2 linked regions of the Nothobranchius furzeri genome follow. The protein of the gene in region 2 interacts with the protein of the main gene of each other region in a pairwise test. Links are inferred from orthologs where the notes say so. Each region holds a gene or a part of one and is shown on either strand. Other genes may lie near its edges. The genes, in order: znf346 and tarbp2.

Region 1 (3,903 bases), on a different chromosome or scaffold from region 2:
TACATGCTACAGTGGCTTGCCATAATCCTGCAGCGGTGCTGAGCAGAGCAGACTGAGCTGACTCCGTAGCGCTGCAGACAGCTCATAAACAGGATAATGGGGACGTTTCTTTCGCTTGTAGAGTTTAGATATTCTTAGTTTCAAGACCATTGTGTTTTTTTGGAACCCACTTGATCGTGAGCCTGCTACCTGATAGCATTAGCAAATCTGCCCGTAGTTACACTTTTGATCCCCAACTTTGGATCGTTTCTGCCTTTGTGTTTTTGCTGGTTTCTGTTTTCCTTCACAGCACCTAGATTAGTACATTGTGCGCCAGTAAAAAGCATCTTCTTTACACAATAACAACTAACTTTCCTTTGTTCAATAAAGTTCTGGGGAAAAAAAGTAACTTGACAAGATGTTTCATGAGTGCAAAGAGTGACAACGAGTCAGAAATTTCAATAACGATAAATTTTTGATTTATTGCCCAGCCCTACCTCCAAAAGAAAAAAAAGAGAGCAAGGTCTTTAAATACTTATTTTAATTTTTTTCCTCTCATTCATTTACTCTAAATTCTGGCAGGATGGGTGCTTCAAATCTAAAAGAAATGTAAATTTTCTCTTTGATAAACCATAAAATAACTAATTTACTAAAACGGAAACAGATGAAACATGTATTTCTGCCACCGAATGAATCATGATGTGAAACCACAGTACTTCAATTTAGCAATATACAGTCCTGAGTAAAAAAAAATATTACTACATTATCACCTATCCCATTTTATGATACTTTCAATAATTTTTTATTTTATTTTTTTTCTTCTTGTGAAGCGCCTCGTGATTTTTATCTTGAGATATAAAAGATAATTTCTTCTTCTTCTATGAAAATGCCCACCCTTAACGTCTATTGAATGTTTCAATTTAACTCACATTGTCAGATGTCTTTTGCTTCTTAGTTGGACTGCCACTGTCCTCTTTCTCATTCTGAAGGGAAATGTAACGCCGCACCTTGTTGGCATGTTTCTTGCTCTGAAAGTGGGAAAAGAAAATCTTTGATAAGAACAAACATCCACAAAAATGGACAAATAATCTCATAATCTGGATAAATTTTAATTTGTCTTGTCAAAAATGTCTTCACGACCCATAAACTAGACTGATGCACGTCTTTACGGCACCCTCGAACGTGAGCGCGGCCCCTTGAGAGTAGGACTGCATCAGGGAATTCAGCGAACTGACCTGATAATGAGTCAACTTCTGAGATTCAGAAATTAGGGCAGCATTGCAGACATTGCACTTGGAGTCAGAAAACAGGTCACCATGCTCTTTTATCATCTTATTTACTGCAGAAAGAGAAAAGGAGAAAACAACAGATTGCATCTTCTGGGGGGAAATATCCTTATAACAAATGGTTTAAGAGCTATCTAAGAAAACACTGCATCTTACAAATGTATGGTCTTAAAACCACTTTAATTAAAATCACCCTGGAGAACCAGTTTCATCAGCAGGACCAAAAGCCTCCTGGATGCTTTTGCAGACATTTGCAATGCAAACACTTGCCAAAACACAGAAGCACATTTTTAGGCCCATCTGTGAGTCACAACTCTTGGATCATTTAATGCGAGAATATTTCTTCACCTTGATGCATCAAGTCCAAGGTGTGACACAGAAAACAGGTGGTGTTTTATAAAAATAGCCAGGATTCAGACGGCTTGGCTAAGGGTTTGTAAGAGCGTGAGACTTTTGTCCTGCAGAATGATCTCTAATAAAATAAAGAGCCCCTGCTTCTACAGGTTGAGATGCAGATGTGCACAAAATGTAAGTCTCGAACGCTGCTAGAGGTGTTAATAAGAATAGTTTAAGATTCAAATGTTTGATGTACTTCATGCAAAGTTTAGTTGCAATCCATCCTCAGAGAAGATCAAGCGTGACATGTCTGTCTCGTCTGAGAAGCTGATTTTACGCACACCAAAATAACAGAAAAACACCGCCGTCCAACGACAGAACACAAGCTATAAACTGACCACAATCTAATTGTGCTTCTTCCAGACTCTATTAAGTCACAAAGCAAGAGAGCAGGAATCAGAAGGAGTCAGTAAAAACATCGGATGAAGAACTGCTCTCCTCGACCTTGGAGCAAAAGCGGCTATCGCTAGGTTAGCTTAGCACATTTTAGCAAACCGGCTAAATTTAGCTCAGGCGAAGCTAACAACAACGCTGGCTTTTAACGCCACAAACTCCAAGACTGCTGCTTTGATGCACTGACGTGATTCTATGTTAACATTTATATGAAATGAGTAAGGCAGAAGTCCTACCCTCAGCCAGCCCTGTAGGTAAGTATGGAAAATCATCGGTTTGCATCGCATCCGCCATGATTTCAACGCACACTAGTGGTGTTCGAGTGCGCATGCGCAGCTGATCAGCTCCCAGATGGAAGTGTTTTGGATTCGAAACTCTTGTTTCCGATTCCCGGTTTCCAGAAAGGATGCACAAAACTAAAATCAGAGGTGTGACCAAGTCACTGCTTTGCAAGTCACGAGTAAGTCACAAGTCTTTCCAGTCATTTCCAGAAATTTCAAGTCATAATCAAGTCATCTGTCTCTGTTCATTGATTTAAAAAATATTTTGTTTTATGTTCAAATAATGATAATAATAATGCATTGAACTTATATAGCGCTTTTCAAGACGCTTTCACACACTCACATTCACACACTGCTAGTGATAGTAAGCTACTTGTAGCCACAGCTGCCCTGGGGCGGTCTGACAGAGGCGAAGCTGCCATTTGGTGCCGTCGGCCCCTCTGACCACCACCAACACAGGCAAGTTGAGTGAAGTGTCTTGCCCAAGGACACAACAGCAGGATACCCCTGGCGGGAGCTGGAATCAAACCCATGACCCTCCGATCATGAGGCAACCCGCTCTACCACCTGAGCTACTGCTGCCCCAAATAAATGTTTCAATCAATCAATCGATCAATCAGTCAATCAGTCAAGTCTCGAGTCAAGTCAAAAACAACCAAGTCCAAGTTGAGTCCAAAGTCAATGTTGTGGAAGTCCAAGTCAAGTCCAAGTCCTTAACTTAGAATTTTCAAGTCATAATCAAGTCATCTGTCCAACTTCAATTTAATGACAATGATAATAAATACATTCTAGTAATAAATCTTCTTAAAGCTTAATTTATTTGCTCAAACAAGCAGAAAGTGCAACTGAAACTGATTCTAAACAAAGTAATGCTGCATTTTACAGTACAAGATCAAACTCAGAACCAAGAAGGATTTATGATTTTTGTCCATGTCGTGCCCCCCGCGACCCTACGTGGTCATTTCACTCCCCTCCGGCAAAGCTAAATTATGGGGCACTCCAGAATTGCAAAGGGACTCTGACATCTGTTACTCATACGAACAGGTGGTGTTTTATAAAAATAGCCAGGATTCAGACGGCTTGGGTTTTTGGTCCTGTCCTTCCTGGGTGTGAGGCAGCAAGGGGTCTTTTGAAATTAAAACAAAGGCCGGAGACGAGTGGCAGAGTACATCATTGATTTTCATACATGTGCTGCTGACAGTAACTGGAATGATGATGCTTTGTGTGACGTCTTTTATCAAGGTCTGAGCGAGGAGATTAAGGATGAACTCTCCTCTAGGGATGTCCCCGAAAGCCTGGAAGAACTAGGAGTTACGGCTCCATGAAAGGAGGAGTGAATGGTTAAAGACATTTTCACTACCCCGCAGAGACGGTGGGTACAGACCATTAACATCTTCATTTCCTGCTGCCCCAATCTCCCCACCAATCCCAGAGGGATCTGAGCCAATGCAGATTGGCTGGAGCAGGCTGTCAGAGAAGGAACGTGAGGAGGTCAAAGGATGACCTCTGTTTTTATTGTGGCAAAGAGGGACACCAAGCCCAAGCTTGCCCATTAAAAGACCAAGCTC
Region 2 (3,917 bases):
AGTGGGTTTGAGTTTTAGGCTGTGAGATTTTCACCAGCTGGACAACAAATGAACTAGAGATAAACTTGTGTTTAGCTTCAAGGCAGGATAAAAATGTCTCTTAACCAATCTGAGGTCAAAAAGCCTCTACTGTACAACAAGGAGGTGTACATTGGCATCGCGTGGTGGCGAGTTCGGGTCTGCGGACAAAAAACGCGCCCAGGTGTCTCATTTTCCTCCTGCCATGATTTTAAGGTACTGCAGTGCATTGTGAGCCGCGTGGGCTCGAGCAGCTTCTACGTTCGGAGCAAAGCCATGACACACAGTGATGGGTTGTGTGGACAGCTCCACCAGACACTGACAGCGGCCGCTGAGGCTGCGCTCCTCTGAAAAACAAACAAGCATGGATGTGAAGAAAAAAAACGAGGAGTTTCTAACCGCTTTACGGTGCTCCTGTTGTGCTGTTGAGCGTGAGCTCACCGAGGTCGAGGTAACTGACATCAAAGCGCTGCTCCACGGACAGGTCGCTCAGCAACGAGCAGAAGTTGGAGCCAGCTGGCATTCCCAGAGGGTGGCTGCGGAGCTGCAGGATCTTCTCTCCAGCAGAGTTACGCAGAGAATCCCAGGTGCAGCTGAAACTTTTGCTTTTACCCGACTCCGCTCTGCTGCCCATGTGCTGCGTAAATGGGATGATTTTATACACGTTTTACACAGACACAGTAGAGCCAAGCAGAGAAGCTTCATCACCATAACATGGGCACAGTTTGTGATATTTTGAGAATTGCACAAGAAATTTAAGCGCAAGCATATAAATCACTGCTGTGGTGTTTAGCTCTCACCAAATTGAAGGTATCTTCTTCTGCATCTGCCTCGTTGCTGCTCCTCAGGTCCACTGGAACGTCGTGGATCCGTGAGAGCATCTTAGCGGCTGCATTCCTCTTGGCTAACTTCTTAGATGTGCCACTTCCTGGACAGGAAAAAGGAAATCACTCCTTCACTTGGCATAAAAGCAGATTTTGACAAATCCAATTGAGCGTGAAAGCACAACATGCAGATATCAAACAAGAATGAGAGAAGATTTACCAATTTCTACAAATCTCTCCACTCTGCAGGTCATGGTAAACTCTTTTCGATGTGCTGGACCCGACTCCTGAGTGACCGTGTACTCTGGCAAACGCCATCCTTTCTGCACCACCAACTCCTGAAGTAAATCAAAACAGAAAAAAAAAGGAAGGAAACTATAGAAATATTCTAACAGAAACCAGTGTTGTGGATTACCAGGATAAAATAAAGTCTCTATGGCGTAGTTACCTGCAGCGCCCCAACGGGGTTACATTCCGACTGTTGAGAACTGCTGGAAGTCTTCATCTCTGACTGAGAGCTGCATAAAACATGAGAGGACAGACTAAATCCACACAAATCTCTCTCTTCCATCAACTCAATGTTGAAACATCGTCTGGATCCAATCAAGACAAGCCATTAAGCATCACTTAAGCATCGCTAGGTTCTTTTCTACATTTTAAAATGAAGTAGGGTCCTGACCAGTCTCCGTCAATAGACACATCAACCTCGATAAACACGTCTTCTCCGACAGCGACTCCAGCTGGATCTCCGAGGCTTCCTTTGAGCATCTTCAGAGCAGCCTCAGCTGCTTTGTGCTTAGCTGCCTTCTTGCTGGGCCCTTGGCCGGTGCAGCTGATCTCTCCGACGGAGACGCGGAATGTGAAGTTGGGCTGGTGGGCCTGTCCCTCCGCCTTCAGCAGGTCGTACACTGGGGTTTTGCCTATCCGCGTTCCATACTCCTGCAGCAGACTGATGGGCGTCTTTCCAGGATTCACAGCCAGCATTTGCTCAATACTATTTAAAAGATAGAAAGCATAAGCAGCTGTTCACTTATTTTGTTATCATCTTTACTGAGATCAAAACACAACAATGTGGCTAGTTTATTGCTGCTAAAATCTAAAGGGCATACGCTACAATGTTCAGTGGAAAAACTACACTTGTCTATATTTTAGTTTCACGAAATGCAACAAGAAATAGGAAAAGTGTGCCATCTTTAAGGCTCAATCTGTGAAATATGTTTCCAAGAAAAAAAATACTATTATTTGCCAAATGAATACTGACCCAAATAATAAGTGTGGTGTTTTGAGGTGAGATTCTTCACAGTGTACAAAGGAAATGGGCACAAACCAATAAAACTCTATTATTTACATTATCAGAGTAAAAGAAGGCACTTTTATTCAATGATTTATTTGTGAGGCGGCAGCTACAGCCATCTGGAATGAAGATTTGAACCAGAAATGTTTGCAATCAGCTTATTTTATTACATATATTACAAATGGAATAAAGAGATTTGTGTAATTTATGCCGATCTTTACATTTAGGAAAACATTATATTAGTGTTTTTGACCACCTGTTGCCTTCCAGATTACAATAATCCCTCAAAAATCAACCTAGCAGTAAAAAGCCACCAGATAAAGAGTATTAACGATGAGTCAAACAGTTAAGCTGTAGAGATTAAAAGAATAACAGAAGATTAAACACTTAAAACAACATGCACGCGTTAGTTTCTGAGGCCTTTGACTCTGACATTTTATATTGTTTACATACAAATGGCTTTTATCAAGAAGACAATCCCACCTGGAGTCCCCGGAGTTTCTCTTCCAGCTATCCGAAGCTGTCTCGTCGTTCATTCCCCGTTTCGCGCAGACAGAACCGCTCGGTTTCGGATGTAAAATCCCCCCCGCCACAACAGACACGTACTCTCATTAGACGGTATTTATTGTTGTCCCAAAACGATGAGCTAAAGCTGCAACATGATGGATACCAGAAGACGAAACCACCTCTACAGCGACAACCTCGGTCACACGATTATGACGTAGATTGCGTCCTGGGCAGCGTAAGCCCCGATTGGCCCAAATGCCTTCTGTGCCTCAGAAGGTGGGAATGACACTCATCAAGCATTCATCCCTAAATATACTGATGGGTCGAAAGTGTCAGGAAATATAACGGGATTTTCTTTCTGGATTCCGACATTAAGTATATATTATAAAAGTCGAACATCTAATAATCTGTCAGTTTATACAGTGGAAATGTTAGCCATTTCATTTAGTTTACAGTGGATAGAACAAAATGGTGTTAGGAAAAGTATTATTTGCTCAGACTCCATGTCAGCATTGTTATCAATTAAAGAAATGTCAGCTGATAAGAGGTCAGATATTTTGTATGAAATATTTGAGTGCATGTTTAGGTTAGGTTATACAAAAGGTATAATGATTTCTTATTAATAAAACCTTGTTGCAGCACTAAAGCAGAAAAATGAGATTTTGCAAGAAATATGCTAAATATTTACATATGAATTGTTTTAGAGCCGTTTTATTGGCAGAATCTGATATTAATTTAGTTCTTACAAAAAAATGGGTCCCAACGTGGTTTGTGTGGCGTTGCCATAGTGTGACGTCATAGGCACAGATCCCCTGTCCTCTTGTTTGGAAATGGAAATATGATCACCCTACATTAAACAAACTGTCCACCCGGGCTTTTGCGCTGCACAGAGATGCTTCGCTGCCTATGACTTTGAACGCCAGTTGAGAGTCAGTCTCATTCAGACTGACCAATGAAGAGAGGGCCTCAAGTTTAGACCCTCTCCTCATTGGTCATTCCACACGAGGTGGGTCAAAGGTTACCCTGAGCGGGTTACATGATGTCAGGCATTCAAGTATTGAGTATATTTACTGCATATTACAGTAAAATATTCTGTATGTGACCATATTATGGTGATCCTTGGGTCGTGATGATGGGGACCTTTAATATTGTTGCCCAGGGTACAACTAAGTGTTAATCTGACCCTGGGAGCGGAGGTAGTGACTAACACAGCACGTCAGCTCTGTCTTATCAAATGCACCAAGTAAGTTACGAAAAAAGTAACTTTAAATATT

Evidence for each region.
Region 1: the proteins of tarbp2 (region 2) and znf346 interact in binary tests that used the Homo sapiens proteins (3 or more experiments, as listed by UniProt). The two-hybrid records come from large-scale screens. The link is inferred for Nothobranchius furzeri from reciprocal best matches to the Homo sapiens genes TARBP2 and ZNF346.

What each region holds. Positions count from the first base shown.
Region 1 is NC_091750.1:54,172,731-54,176,633, forward strand, and holds the start of znf346 (zinc finger protein 346), read right to left. Parts: upstream 2,909-3,903; 5' UTR 2,385-2,908; coding exon 2,291-2,384; intron 1,319-2,290; coding exon 1,215-1,318; intron 1,008-1,214; coding exon 909-1,007; intron 1-908.
Region 2 is NC_091743.1:62,020,123-62,024,039, reverse strand, and holds the start of tarbp2 (RISC-loading complex subunit tarbp2), read right to left. Parts: upstream 2,816-3,917; 5' UTR 2,673-2,815; coding exon 2,620-2,672; intron 1,837-2,619; coding exon 1,522-1,836; intron 1,361-1,521; coding exon 1,291-1,360; intron 1,181-1,290; coding exon 1,063-1,180; intron 947-1,062; coding exon 819-946; intron 656-818; coding exon 460-655; intron 366-459; coding exon 208-365; 3' UTR 1-207. UniProt on the Homo sapiens protein: Required for formation of the RNA induced silencing complex (RISC). Component of the RISC loading complex (RLC), also known as the micro-RNA (miRNA) loading complex (miRLC), which is composed of DICER1, AGO2 and TARBP2.